Coturnix japonica: one gene and its partners. The protein of the gene in region 2 purifies or fractionates together with the protein of the main gene of each other region. This does not show direct contact. Links are inferred from orthologs where the notes say so. Each region holds a gene or a part of one and is shown on either strand. Other genes may lie near its edges.

Region 1 (3,564 bases), about 820 kb from region 2:
CCATACGACCTTAAGATGCAAATCTCACAGACTGATAAAGTACACAAACTTGAATTTGGATAGAATGTACATGAAAAAAAAACATTGATCTATGATTCCTTTACACCACCTACTTTCCTGCATTTGTAAAGTACTGGGTTAGTTTTGAATGTAGCTAACCCGGTTTGCTTGTATGTAATTCAGATGTTCAAGAAAGAAACCCCTCACTGCAGAGCTCCTGAGCTCTGCACCTAACTACAGAGAAGCAGTAGGTGAATTTCTCACCAAAATCAATTTCAGCTCGTAACAGAATCTTTTAAATATTAAACCACTTAAGTTTTCTGAACTGCTACCTCATTGATTTGTGTACTATGCAAAAGGTTCGCAAGTTATCTTTCCCAAAAATTCTTTAGCTCTTACAGATGCATTTCAATTCAATAGTAGTAATTTACTATTACGCAGAACCTGAAGGATGATGTAAACCAACCAACCAACAAAATTGCCTGTCTTACCAGCTCCCCCTCTGAAATTGCTGCCAGGTCCTGGTCCAAAGTTGCCACCACCTCCACGGGCATCACCAAAACCGAAGTTCCCTGTAACAATGTAACATTTGTAAGCAGCAAAACCATGCAAAGCACACAAAAACAAACTGAGAGGCATTAACTGCACGTACCTCCTCTCCCACTCCGAGAATTTTGGACTTCCTGCATTTCCTGTCTAGAGAGGGCTTTCCTTACTTCTGCATTGTGGCCATTAATGGTGTGATACTTCTGCACTGTGAGCACACAGAACAAAACATGGTGAGCATTTAAGTGCTGATCTGGTGACACGAATCTTAAGCTACCAAAAATGCAGTCATTCCCTAACGGTCCCATACACACTCCCTACTGTTATCTTAAAAATTATACATACCGGAATACATTTCATTGATTATTTAAAATACCCATTCCCCACAATTCACTATAACTATCATATTACATTCACTTAAGTATTCCTATTACCTACCTATTTTAAATTTAACTTCACACACGTACCATGACTGCAAGCATCAACATTATCAAAACAAAGCAGTGAGATGAAGATTACTTACATACAATTTTATCCACAGGATCATGGTCGTCAAATGTAACAAACCCAAACCCTCTCTTTTTACCAGACTGTCTGTCAGTAATGATTTCAATAGTGTCAATTTTTCCATATTCCTCGAAGTAGTCACGAAGGTGGTGCTCCTCGGTGTCCTCTTTAATACCACCAACAAATAGTTTTTTCACAGTAACATGAGCACCAGGTTTTCCAGATTCCTATTAAAAGAATTCTCCAAATTACCTCAAAGAAAAGCAATTTAGTTCATAATTTTCTTTCAGGATTTCAAGAATGGAATACTAAGGTTTTCAAATCCTGAGGTTGACTTCTTTCAGTGCATGTCCATAAAACCTCTTTATGGGGTGGAAGGGGTAATAGATGTCCTCCCCAAACCCAGCCTGGATGGGGCCCTGGGCAGCCTGGTTTACTATTGGATATGGAGGTTGGTGGCCCTGCCTATGGCAGCAGGGTTAGAGCTTGATGATCCTTTAAGTCCCTTCCAACCCAAGCTTTTCTGTGCTTCTATGATATATAATAAAATGTATAAAAGTAAATAAAAACAAATTTAGAGACCAACTGCTTGAACAACTCCTTAATAACAAACAAAAACTCCCATGTGTTTTGAGTGTAACATTTAAGGAGCTGCACTAGGTAGGAAGGATTTATCCCTAATGCCTGGTAATAGCTCTGTGTGTATAAACAGTGTGCACATGCCCTGCTTTCTTATGTTTTCGCAAGTGCTAATCAACACTGCATTCTTCTGGAAACTGAATGAAAACTGGGACTGCTAACAAGGGTACCACTTCTAGGTGATGGAAAATGGAAATCACCATAAAACTCCTTATTCAGTTGCTTTTTATCAATCCAAAAACATTAGAAATTTGGGTCAGACCTTGTGCTTGAAGTGGTTAAACCCTCCCAGAGCTCCAACAATGCAAAGAACATGAATTAACCTGCTCAAATATGTCAGTGCTACAGTAACTCAGCTATACTGTATGACTGTATGCCCATCTAATGTATAGCTTGGATTATAAGATCAAATATGCAAGGAGCAGAAACATGACTAATCTTACGCTGATTTTGATCATCACCATTGGAAGGAAAGTACAGTTCCCAACAGTCCACGAACAGACTAAAAATGTGGAAACGGTGTCCCAAACACACCCTTTCACTGAATTTAAACAGAGACAAATTGAAGTATAAATGCATAAGCAAAACAGAGTAGTCTCTCAAAGCATGGAAAGTATCCACTCTCAGTCCTATGCTTACCTCTCTAGCCACAGCTCTCTTGGGCTCCACCACCCTTCCATCAATTGTGTGAGGTCTCGCAGCCATGGCTGCATCAACTTCGGCCATCGAGGAGAATGTCACAAAACCAAACCCCCTTGATCTTTTGCTTGCAGGATCCCGCATTACCTAAAAACGGTGAACAAATTTAAATCACTTCTACGTGTCTCATGTTAAAACTGAACAGCAACATTTGGAGAACCTAATTTAAATAGTTACATGTAAAGCAGCAAGCAATACTGACCAAATACGTAAGCAGCATCCACATGGCATCAGAGAAATTCAGAGTACTATAGTCCCCTAATACCTTACCAGTAACTCCGAAAGCACTCAGTTGCAATGATTCATGTCTATATACATGTATCTTTCTCTAAAAATCAAACATTTGTTTCTACCTCTCTGAAGACTACACTCTTTAAATGCAGGTTATGAAATACATATTTACTGTTCCTCTCTGCACTGTGAGGGGTCTGGAGCACAGGCCTTATGAGGAGCAGCTGAGGGAGCTAGGATTGTTCAGTCTGGAGAAGAGGAGGCTTAGGGGAGACCTTATAGCTCTCTATAACTTCCTGAAGGGAGGCTGTAGTGAGCTGGGGGTTGGCCTCTTCTCTCGTGTAATCAGTGATAGAACTAGAGGGAATGGTTTTAAGCTGCGCCAGGGGAGATTCAGGCTGGACATTAGGAAGTATTACTTCTCGGAAAGGGTAGTCAGGCATTGGAATGCACTGCCCAGGGAGGTGGTGGAGTCACCGACCATGGGAGTGTTCAAGAAACGTTTGGATGTTGTGTTGATGAACATGATTTAGCTGGGAAGTATTGGCAATGGTTGGACTAGAGGATCTTCTAGGTCTTTTCCAACCTTGATAACTCTGAAGTATACAAAAATCACAGGCTGCAGAAAGCCGCCCATCTCTAGCTTCAACAAAGCTGTTAACCAAAGCAGAAGCTTTCTTCCAAAGGTTACTGGTTACACAGATGCTGATGCACTTGGCTCTCCCTAATGCATTGGAAGCAGTGACACCCAAGTTAATTTTGAACAGCTGTAATCAGCAGTTAAGAAATAATCTGAGCAATTTTACAAGAAACAAGCTGTATTTATCAACAATTTATCAGCAGTGTTCTAGAGGAAATCTGCATATAGCTTTGAAGGCCTGATAAGCATGAACCAACTACAGGATCTTAAATTTTAACATTAATTTTTCTCTCATGTTAAGG
Region 2 (4,165 bases):
ATATGCCTAATTATTATGGAAATGGAGAGGAAGTGATCCTCGTGCGTCCCATGGACTCTTCCTCCTTAAATCTAAAAATACGTTCCCTCCACAGCAATTGCTTTTTATGTACAGAAGACCCAAAATACAGAGTGCTGCAAACCAAAGCCACGTATCTTGCATAACAAATGAAGGAGCGCACATAGTACATTAATTCCCAATTAAAAGAAGTACCAAATGCAACCACAACGATCAGCATAGCGTGAAATGGGCCAGAAAAGATTTGGGGTTTTTGTTTTTTTAAATGCTCCTTCACTAAACCCAAAATCCTCCGCGCCTTCCCCAAGCAAAGATTTCCTCCAACACCCAGCAGTGATTAAACTTCAATTCCCAAAGCACCCCCAATTACTACATCCAAATCCTCCTTTTCCAACCAGCTACTTTCAGAGCACCGTGCTTTTAAAATGAAGGCTGAAAGGGCAGAAGCCCCTCTCCCGAAATTCCGCGGCCAGACCTACTTCTCAGGCTGAAGAATGGAGCTCAGAAACAAGCACGTGGAAAGTTTCGGCCCTTTTGCTGCTACTATCTGCAGCACGCCAGGTTCCCTGCAATCTAACGTTTGTGGCCGAATTGCTACAGGCAGCAGAACAAACACCGCCCTGCCATATCGCGAGTATCGCCTCCGCACACGAGGCCCACTCAATTACTACCTTGAAAAAGAAAATTAAACATGCATCTTGAAATTAAGGGCTCGTTAATCTAGCCCTCCTTGGGAAGGAGTCACCCTCCTGCTGCTTTGCTACACCGGCTCGAAGGAGATAGAAACCCTCTCGCACACAGATAGTCAACCACAGCCCTGCACCGCGTGCCTATAAAACGCTCCGGACTCCAACATGGCAGGAGCAGAGAGATGTACACAGCAGCGTATTTACACGACGCGTTGTGCTGCTAGAGCTCATGTGCTCGCCGCTCCACAGCCCCTCACTGCAGCTCCTGCTCACACACCACATTTTAACTCCTCCACGGAACTTTAAAATACCAGCAGCCCTCCCCAGCCGCAATGCAATAAGCTGAGCATTCCACAGGAAGACCTCGCTCTTTTTCTTTCTTTTTCTTCTTTTTATTTGATTTTATTAAATCCATAGAAACACGGGGGGCCATTCTAGCACAGAGCACGCTGCTGCTGTAAGAAAGCTGCCCCTTTATCTATAAGGAAGAGAAAGCCAAGCCTATGCATTTTTCAGATCACTTCTCACTGGGGAAACACGGAGGGAAATAATAATAATAATAATAATAACAACGAGACAAAAAGAGAAATTACCTTTGTCTTTTAGGCACCGAATGCTCAACTTCTATGAGTTTTCCGTGCAGCTCCACTTTACCTGCGGAGAAGAACAGAAGGGAAAATATTGGAGAGGGGCCGTGCGGCTCTCGGCAGCGCAAGGCAGCAGAGCGGAGCGCAACACGTTAGAGCCCATTCATCGGCCGCGGGGCAGAGCGGGGCGGCAACAAAGCCGTGGCCGCGGGGCCGCTGCCCCCGAGGAAGAACCGCGTGGAGGGCGAGAAGGGCTACGAGGGGCCGAGGGCCTCCGACCCGGCCCGGGAGCACGCGGGGAAAGCGGCCCGAGAGCGGCGGGGCCGCCGTTCGCGGAGGTTCCGCTAAGCGGCTTCACTCGCTGTTTTTATTATGATGGTCTTGATTAGGTTTTTTGGTGGTGGCGGTTTTTTTGGTGCTGTGTTTTTTTGTTGCGTGGTTTTGGTGGGTTTTTTTGTTTTTTGTTTTTTGGTTTTTTTTTTAAATGCACAAAAACAGGATGTCGGGGCCGGGAACCGGCGCGCTGCTGGAGGCGGTGATGGGTGCGTGAGAGCGGCGAAAAGAAACCGAAATAAATACCGGGTGGAACGGGGAGAGGGGGGGGCGGCAGGGCTCCCACCTCCCGGCTCGGGGCATTTCGGCGGGCAGCCCGCGGCCTGCGCCGGGCTCAGATGAGGTGCCGAGGGGAGGGAAGGGGGGGGGGGGGGGGGGGGTGAGCACCGAGGGCCGCCCGCCCCCGCGATGGGCCCCGGGGTGTGGAAAAAGCAGGGGGCCGCGGGCACGGCCCTCCTCCGCTTCCCCCCTCTCACCCCCCCCGGGGGCCGCCGCCGAGCCGGGGGAGTCTCACCTGGGCGCAGGGGGGCACCGGGGGCCGTCGGGGGTGGGAGCGGGGCCGCTCACCCGAAAGAGTCTCGATGGCTTTCATGGCCCAGTTCTCGTCGGGGCAGTCCACGAAGGCGTAGCCGGACTTAACCAGGAACTGGCCCGAGAAGGGGATCTTGGAGTCCTTAAAGAGACTTTCCAGATCGAGCGGGCTGACGTTCTCGCCGAGGTTGCCGATGTAGAGCTTGTTCATCTTCCCGGCGGCGGCTGCAGCCCTCGGCTGGCGGGAGGAGGTGGGGAGAAAACAAAACGCGATGGAGGAAGGAGAGAGAGAGAGAGGACGGGGAGGATAATCGGCTCCGCGGCTCGCGGCCCTCCCTCCCTCTCTCGAGGGGTGAAAAATAAAATGAAAACGAAGGCGAACGGAGCCCTAAGTGCGTGCCGTGCCACCCGGGCGCATGGGGGGCCGCGGGAACAGCCGGCGCCGGGCCGCGATGGCGGGCTGAGAGAGGAAGAGGAGGAGGGGAGGGAGGGAAAAAAAGTACTTTTTGTCTTTGCCCCCGAGCCCCTCCGGCAGCAGCGGGCGGACTATGGAAATGTCACACTACGTGCGCTCAGGCACCGCCTCTCGCTGCAAAAAAACACACAGAGAGAGGAGGGGAGGGGGAGGGATGGAGGGAGGGAGGCAAAGAAGGGGAAGGAAAAAAAAAAATTACTTGAATATTCCGGCTTTTTGAATGAGCCACGTGTTCAAACTACAAATCAACTTCTCACGTGAGGAATCCCGGCTCTTCAATTAGCGAGCGGCTGAGCCGGAGGGGGGGGGAGGGAGGGGGAGGAGAATGAGGAGGAGGAGGAGGAGGGTCGGGGTGAAGGCCGGGGGGGAGCCGGGCGGGACGGGACAAGTTGAGAGCAGAGGGCGGGGGAAGGGGAACGCGGAGCCGGGTGGGCGCAAGCCCTGCCCCCGCCTCTACCCTTCCGCCGGGGGGGCCCCAGCCACCCGAAAAGGAGCGAGCGAGAGGGGTGGCGGCCCGAAGAGGGAGGGGAAAAGGCACCGCAGTGCCCGCCCCCCGCCCCGCTCCTCCCCGCCGGGCCGGGCCGGGGGATTGGGCAGCGGCGGCTCGGCGCGGAGAGCCCGAGGAGCCGGGAGGGTCGGGGGGGAGGAAGAGAAGGAGGATGGGGATGAGGATGGGAATGGGGGGATGGGGGGAGCGGCCGCGGCTGCGTGCTGGGGGGCTGCGATGGGGCGGGGGGCTGCGCAGCCCCTCCGGAGCCCCATCTGGTAATGGTTGTGCGATGCGGGCGTTACGGGAAGGAGGGGGGAAAGGGGGGGAAAATACACGAGAAGGAAAAAAAAAAAAAAAAAGACAAAGGGGGCGGAGGGCGGTGGGGGAGGATGGGGACCAGAGCGGCGCGGCGGGACCTCGCTTGGGGCACCGGGGCCGGGCCGGGGGCACACAAAGGGCCGCGGCCCCATCCCCCCAAAGCCGTTTGCGACTCGGCTGGGCGGGCACGGCGGGGGGCTGGGGGGGGGGAGGTGGGCTCGGGAATGCGCCCGACGCCGGGGATCGGAGACGGAAACGACAGCCGGGCCGCGCTCCGTGCGGGCGGCCAGCGGGGCTCGGAGCGCCCGACGGAGGCGCGTCCCTCCCGCGGCGGCCCCGCACGACCGGAGCGCGGCGATCCGCCGTTCCCCCCGCGCCGTGCTCGTTCCCACGCGGGGCGCGACTCGGGCACCGCTCGACGGGGCGGCTCCTTTGTTCCCCTCGCTCCGTGCGGGGCTCCGGGGGCGTCGGGGTCGCTCCCTCCCGAAGCCACAGTGCTGCCTTCCCGCGCCGAGCACAGCCGAGAGCGCGGAGCTCCCATTGTGCGGCAGTGCCCGCGGATCCGCGAGGAACCGGGATGGGCGAGCGAGGCAGCTCGGGGCCGGCTGGAGGAGCCGGAGGGATTGTCGGCTTGACCGAGCGGGCTGGGCTGCGCTCATCGGAATTTAAGCACTACTTCCGTTTTGTTGGAAACGAGCAAATAATTCTCTTTACATCCCCCCCC
Region 3 (4,364 bases), on a different chromosome or scaffold from region 2:
AGATCCCCACACATCCAACTGTGCTTGACCCAGCTCTATAAATACGGTAAAAATGTAAACATTTTCCTGTCTGTTTATACTAACTAAGTGGGTTTTTTTGCTGTGTTTTCAAAAGTTGCTAAAGAACCAGGGAAGTTTGATCTGGTTTATCAGTCTGCAGATGGGGCCGAGCTGATAGAATACGCTGTGCCTCAGGACACAAAGGTACGTGCCTGCCTTGTTCTGAAGGCTGCCGCGTGGTTGTGCTGACACGTTTCCCTGCTTTACAATGCTGTCCTTTTATAATGGAGCGTTTCATTAAAGTAAATGAAAGCAAAAATAATCCTTTCTAACAAGAATGGGAATTATCATGAGATAATAAACTCTTGCGTATTATTTCAGTTAATTAGACTCAGAAAGTCACCACTTTGTGTAACTTTTTGGCTCCACGAACCTCCATGAGGTTCTGGTTTTCCTACCTGCACATCAGCAGGTTAAGGCTGATGAAGATCACTGAATTGGAGCAATGATCTGTGACCTTTGTTCTGTGCTGCTGCTGTTCACATCCAAACAACTTGTGATGCAGAAGAAATTGCACCTGCCTGTACACCTTGTACGCGCTAATGTTGGATTTTGCTTCCAGATAACTGAGAGTTGGGATTCGCTGATTGAGCCCAGATTGATCGTTGAGCCTCCAATGAATGGATCAGGCACTGAAAACGGAGCAGTCTGAGATGTGAACACGAGTAAATCCTTGTGTGGACTTGTTTCATGAGATGCTGCCGTCCAGTTCTGAGGGCAGCAAATGCGCTGCTGGTTATTTTCCATAAATGGTTTTAAAATAAACACTGTTTTCTTAAGAGATGGTTTTGTGTTAATCCAAGAATGCTTTGTTTGTTATAGATTTAATGTAGGTTTGATTTATTTTTTTTAATAGAATCTTAGTTTTTATATTCTACTTTTGTGAGTGGCAAAACTGGAATAGTTTGATAGAAAATATAAATGATGACCTTGTGCTGTGTTTGTGGCTCTGCTGCTGTGTCCTGTTTTGTCTAGAGCAGCGTAACTGCTATACAGAACTTGTTGTAAGGATCATTAAAATCCAGCATTGAAAGAAAAATATATTGACGTCCATGGTTCTTTACTGCAGAGCATGACATGAATGGCCAGACCTTACAGTTCTATACAGGGTTCACCTGAAAACATCAAGAAAAGTTTAAGGATTTTATGCTTCTGTAATTTAGAGAGGAGGATAAACAGTGTTGGTGACAGAACTCAGCCTAGAACCAGCACAATACAAACGAACCCAGACAAAACGGTGTCCCAGCGTGTTCAGCCGAGTGTGCTCTGAAACCTTTACAGCCGAACCCTTTTGCCCTTTCAGTGTTGAAGTGTCAGTGCTGCCTTTGCTCAGAACAACGCAAGAAAACCGCACACACGTACTTCGCCGGCTCGGTCCGCTCCAGCGCCCGCACGGATCGCAGCTCCCCGGGACACCGCAACCCGCGCTGCTTCCCCGCCTGCCCGTCCCGCCCCGTCCGCCGCCCCCGCTGGGCTCAACCCGGGGCGGACCCGCCGCGCCCCTCGAGGCGGGGAGATGGTTCGTAATTTTACGGAAATCCGCAGCCCCAGTTTCGTTTCCTCGGGGTCTGGAGGCAGCAGCGGGATAATGGCGTCGATGAGCAGAACTAAGTCGGAGCCGAACCTGTTGGAGCTGGAGGAGGAGCTGACGTGCTCCATCTGCCTCTGCATCTTCAACGTCCCCGTGACGGTGCCCTGCGGACACAACTTCTGCGCCTCCTGCCTGGAGCTCACCTGGGCCGGCCAGGTGCGGGACTTGAGCTGCCCTCAATGCCGCGCCACCTTCCCGAGCCGCCCGCAGCTCCGCAAGAACACGGTGCTGTGCCGGGTGGTGGAGCAGATGCGGGGCAGCGGGACCGGGGACGGCAAGGAGGACGATGAGAGCGAGGAGGAAGAACGGGAGGCGGCGACCCTCATCTACTGCGACAGCTGCCTGCAGGCGGCCGCCACGCAGACCTGCCTCACCTGCATGGCTTCCTTCTGCCCCGAGCACCTGCGGCCGCACCACGACAGCCCGGCGTTCCGCGACCATCGGCTGTGCCCGCCCGTGCGGGACCTGCAGCAGAGAAAGTGCCCGCAGCACAACAAGCTCTTTGAGTTCTTCTGCAGCCAGCACGGCTGCTGCATCTGCTCGCTGTGCCTGCTGAGCCACAAGCCGTGCCACACCAGCACGCTGCAGGAGGCCAAAGATAAAACCGAGGTGAGAACGGGGCAGCCCCGAGCTGAGCTCCCTGCAGACACTCCCTGGGGCGATCTGCCCAGATACCGGGATTAACTTAAGACAGCCCCTCTGACTTCGCTTAGCAGCATTCCTCAGATGCGATCCAATCATATCTGAGAACAAAAATCCTCTGTCACAACGAGGGGTGAACAGCAGTATTTACCCAGTGCCCGAAGTCCAGGCTAAGAGCTAAAGCAAAGTTTATTTGCAGCGCTGGGAGCTGCTCCGCTGATGAAAGAGTTCTCCTTATCAGCAGTGACTCAAGGACGCCCATCTTGCTTTTGGAAAGGTGTGGCTATGGGGGTGCTGACCCCACAAACTGTGTGCGTGCACGACAGCACTGCTAAAGGAGCAATGGGTTTTAAACGGGTGGTACTGAATGCTTACAGTGGTTATCAACAACTCCCTACTGTGATTCTTACTCCAGTAACCATGACCCGACTGACAGCATGGCAACGCCTTTTCTAAGCTGCTCTCTGCTCTCCTCTTTTGCAGGCTGCACTGAAGAAGAGGCTGGTGGAGCTGCACAACCAGAGTGAAAGATCCGTGCAAGCAATGAACTCTGTGAAAACAATCCAGAGTCAAGCTGCTGTAAGTTACAGCGCTGTTTGCTTGGTGTGTGCTGGCTCCTGAATGTTGTTTGTGCTCTTGTGGCAGTCCTTGTACTGAAACTGCCTTGTCAGGAAGAAATCTCACTGAGAAGGATCAGAAAAGAGCCGTTTTGGCAGCTCCCTAAGGATGGGAACAAACACAGCCTCCTTACAGGGGTGGTTCGCACCCACACGGGAGTAACTGAGATGAACCCATCCATTCCCACTGCAGCACAGATTGTGCATCTGTGCAGCCCAACCTAAAGCAGCAGTGAGTAGCAACGGCTGCACTACAGCAGAAATGTGGGAGAGCTCTTTTCCACAAGTGAGCACAGCTCAGCCCTGCTCTCACCTGATGGCCGGGGTTGGTGTGTGTGCTGAGAGCTTTTCTATTGCCAGTTGTGAGTAATTGGAGTTTACATGCCCACAGTAGCAGCGCTTTCCCCCTAACTTGGTTTGAAGCCAGTTTCTGCCTTTTTGTGTCTGCTCCAGGAGACAGCTGCCAGAAAGCGGGATCTGCTGAGAGCTGAGTTTATGGAAATTAAAGCTTTAATTGAAGAAAAAGAAAACCAGACCCTAAAAGTAGTTATGGAAGAAGAAAAAAGAGTTTGCAATAAGTTCGATTACATATATAAAATTCTGGGAAGTAAGAAGAATGAAATTCAGTCTCTGAGAGACCAGATTGAGATGGCACTGACCGAAGGGGATGACGTTCTCTTTTTAAAGGTAACGTGTCCTTTAGGTTCAAATCTGATTCTTTGGGGTTTTAGAATATAGATTCATAAAGAACTGCCCTGGTCGTCCTGCTTTCCAAATCCTTTTAGTCAAATGATAAAGCAGTCACATGCAAGAACCTCCTATAACAAGATGTACTGATAAATACACAAACACGAGTGAAAGAGCACTGGAACAAAGTGCTGTCTGCGATTCCACCTCTCCCCAGTTCTGCCACTATTTCTGCTGTGTGCAGAAAGGCCACTGAGGGAGAGAACTCGTCTCCATGAGGAGGAGTTACATCTCTGTGCTGCGAGGCAGAGCTTTCTTATTGCTCCAGGTATCAGGAAGTAACGCTTATGTGCTGCTGAGCTGCTGCTGAAATTGTGCCACGGCTTTGCCTGATTGTCACCTGTGCTCTTTTGCATTTGAGATAAATGCCCAAAACTCAGCCCATTTAAGGTCACCTGCTTGTATTTCTCACACAAGATGGTCTGCATGAGATTTTCCGTTTCTCATTTCAGAGAGCAGCAGCGCTGCAACGAACATCAATAAAAGAGGCCTTTGTCCCAGTAATAGAAATGGACCACAACATGATACACGCTGCTTATCAGTCTGCCATTAACCTTAAAGATGCTGTCAAACTTGCAGTGAATGCGTCTGTGGATAAAAGAACGGATGGTATTGTATCACTGTGGGAACCGGCGTTTTATGCCTCAGCTTTGAGCTCAAATGAGAGAGATTCCCCCTCCAATCCAAACATAAAAACTAGAGCAGAA
Region 4 (2,485 bases), on a different chromosome or scaffold from region 2:
TAAATGAAATGAGGAGCAGCTGATGTGCTTGGAGGAATGGGGTTTGGGAGGAGTGCAGAGCATCCACACTTGAAGAGCTCTGCATTTGTTGGGAGCACAGTGAGCACTGACTGAATGCAGGCGCTGGGCTTCCCTCAAGGCCCTCAGCTGGAACATCTATGATCTCATGTTGTGTTTGTAAGAGTTTTAGGCTTTTTAAGAGCTTCTGGGTGCTGCCTGGTGGGGCTGGGGCTGAGCTGATCACCTTCTGTAGCCCTTTGGATGAACTGTTTTCCGTCAGCTCTGAGGTCAGTAGTTCTTGCAGGCGTCAGTTCCATAAGGAAATGGGTGTGTGGTGCTGGTACTGTGTGACGGGGCAGCTGTAACTTGGATCGAGTTGTTCACAGTATTGTTATTGCCGTGTGTTAAAGGCACGGGGAGGAGTGACTGGCTTTAAATGAGTCCAGTTCTGAGCACTGCAGCACTAGCTGTGCCTATAACATGTATTCTAGGAAATAAAAGGCATTCAGCAGTTGATTCATTGGGCTGTGGAATGACTTGAAGTGACACTGCAGCAAGGCTCAGCTGGTGTGATGTGAGCCTGAGGGCTCACAGCTTGTGAGCGGTGAGCACAGCTCCGGGGCTGTGCTGTGTAACTGTGGAGCAGGAAGCTCCCTGTGCCCTGCTTGTCTGTTAGCCACGCTGCTGCCCTCATAGAGCATTCATCACTGCAGGAAATGGAGCTGGGGACGCAGGCTGTGTGTGCTGCTTTTCATAGCCTGTGATGTCACATCTTCCACTGTGCTATCCCAACTGATGGGCTGTCAGGTGTTTTTCCTCCGAGCCTGTTGGTGGGATATGTGGGGAGGGAGGAAAACACTCAGCACCTCACACAGGTCCCCAACAAGGTCTTTCTTTGAGGCAGCCTCCCCTTAGAGCAGGCTGAGCAGTGCAGAGCTGACAGCTACTTGTCCCGGTGCTCCCCTGCTTTCCCCTCACCCCTAAACAACTGAATTTGAAGCTGGGCCCTCACGCAGCTTGTCTCACATCTGAATTTCTCTTTGGTGCTGTCTTGCAGGAATGACACCAAGGAAGATGTGTTTGTCCATCAGGTAAGATGGGCTGGGAACTGAAACGTGTTACCTCTTTGATACGCGCTGTGCATGACCTCAGCCAAATGGGTTGGAGGGGACAAGGGTTTCCTGTCTCCCTAAAATCACTGCTTACGTGCTGAAACTTGTGACATCTCTTATGATGGATTTTATTCCATTTAGGGAACAAATGGACCCACGTTATGTTGCTGGCATTAATTTGTTACTGGCATTAAACTTGTTAAAAAGTTTGCTGAGTAGAACGTGGCTGAGAATGGTGCTTATAGAGCACGTGCTCAGCTGTCAGAAATGCAGTATGCTGCTGAACAGCACAGGAAATAACCCCAAATAACTATTTTAGTCAATGCATACACCTGATAGGAATGTACAGAGTGCTTAGAGAGAAACTTCTGATGCAGCTTGCATTGTTTGGGGGCTATTTTGTATCTCTGACTGGAATCGTATGGGCAGATAGTCCTGGAACAGCTGTAAGGCTGCACAGTGCTCTGGGTAGGTCAGAGCAGTAATAAAGCACACACTGGCTTTGAGTTCCCATTGTGGCTTAATGACTTGTCCAGGAGGATGTCTTAATAAATAGATTCAGTCCCCCCAAAACACCAACACAAACTTGAGATGCACTGAGTAGCGTTTTCCTGTTGTGAATGTAACTGTGCCATATTATGTTGTCAGACTGCCATAAAGAAGAATAACCCCAGGAAGTACCTCCGCAGCGTAGGAGATGGAGAGACCGTGGAGTTTGATGTGGTTGAAGGAGAGAAGGTAAATGCGTCTGGGCTGTTGGAGCATGCATTGAACTGCAGGTCTGCGGGCTTTGCTGTGGTGTTGTGGTTTGAGCAGTTGCCTGACGACATCCAGGGAGATGAATGGTTGCTCATTGCTTTACAAATGGGGATGCAAATCGGTGCTGGGTGCTGAATCACACCGGTTTGGTGCTCACTGCTTGCTTAATGCTCTCCCTGCTCCTCAGGGTGCGGAGGCAGCGAATGTGACAGGGCCTGGTGGCGTTCCAGTGCAAGGCAGCAAATACGCAGCAGACCGTAACCATTACAGACGATATCCGCGTCGCAGGGGTCCTCCACGCAACTACCAGCAAAACTACCAGAACAGTGAGAGTGGGGAGAAGAACGAAGGAGCAGAGAACATCCCGGAAGGCCAAGCCCAGCAGCGCCGTCCCTACCGCAGGCGGCGGTACCCACCTTACTACATGCGTAGGCCCTACGGGCGTCGACCACAATATTCCAACCCTCCCGTGCAGGGAGAGATAGTGGAGGTAACGCATGTGGTGTGGGTCCTGTGGAGCAGGGCGATAAAACGCAGCTCTGCGGATGCTCGAGATGTGCTCTGTAAGGCTTAGCAGTGAGATAAAATGCCTGAGCAGATGTTGGCACGGTGTT

Evidence for each region.
Region 1: the proteins of IGF2BP3 (region 2) and HNRNPA2B1 purify together in Homo sapiens (affinity purification with mass spectrometry; 4 studies listed by BioGRID and IntAct, with this or other methods). This does not show direct contact. The link is inferred for Coturnix japonica from reciprocal best matches to the Homo sapiens genes IGF2BP3 and HNRNPA2B1.
Region 3: the proteins of IGF2BP3 (region 2) and TRIM25 purify together in Homo sapiens (affinity purification with western blotting; 3 studies listed by BioGRID, with this or other methods). This does not show direct contact. The link is inferred for Coturnix japonica from reciprocal best matches to the Homo sapiens genes IGF2BP3 and TRIM25.
Region 4: the proteins of IGF2BP3 (region 2) and YBX1 purify together in Homo sapiens (affinity purification with mass spectrometry; 3 studies listed by BioGRID and IntAct, with this or other methods). This does not show direct contact. The link is inferred for Coturnix japonica from reciprocal best matches to the Homo sapiens genes IGF2BP3 and YBX1.

What each region holds. Positions count from the first base shown.
Region 1 is NC_029517.1:29,448,133-29,451,696, forward strand, and holds part of HNRNPA2B1 (heterogeneous nuclear ribonucleoproteins A2/B1), read right to left. Parts: intron 2,479-3,564; coding exon 2,332-2,478; intron 1,281-2,331; coding exon 1,070-1,280; intron 755-1,069; coding exon 653-754; intron 573-652; coding exon 492-572; intron 1-491. UniProt on the Homo sapiens protein: Heterogeneous nuclear ribonucleoprotein (hnRNP) that associates with nascent pre-mRNAs, packaging them into hnRNP particles.
Region 2 is NC_029517.1:28,632,077-28,636,241, forward strand, and holds the start of IGF2BP3 (insulin-like growth factor 2 mRNA-binding protein 3), read right to left. Parts: upstream 2,809-4,165; 5' UTR 2,370-2,808; coding exon 2,195-2,369; intron 1,362-2,194; coding exon 1,301-1,361; intron 1-1,300. UniProt on the Homo sapiens protein: RNA-binding factor that may recruit target transcripts to cytoplasmic protein-RNA complexes (mRNPs). This transcript 'caging' into mRNPs allows mRNA transport and transient storage.
Region 3 is NC_029533.1:7,752,690-7,757,053, forward strand, and holds the start of TRIM25 (E3 ubiquitin/ISG15 ligase TRIM25), read left to right. Parts: upstream 1-1,553; 5' UTR 1,554-1,576; coding exon 1,577-2,260; exon of another isoform or gene 2,261-2,776; coding exon 2,777-2,872; exon of another isoform or gene 2,873-3,363; coding exon 3,364-3,597; exon of another isoform or gene 3,598-4,109; coding exon 4,110-4,266; exon of another isoform or gene 4,267-4,364. Other genes in the region: COIL (coilin), read left to right, coding at 116-204, 623-712.
Region 4 is NC_029536.1:5,557,130-5,559,614, reverse strand, and holds part of YBX1 (Y-box-binding protein 1), read left to right. Parts: intron 1-1,057; coding exon 1,058-1,091; intron 1,092-1,760; coding exon 1,761-1,850; intron 1,851-2,058; coding exon 2,059-2,361; intron 2,362-2,485. UniProt on the Homo sapiens protein: DNA- and RNA-binding protein involved in various processes, such as translational repression, RNA stabilization, mRNA splicing, DNA repair and transcription regulation.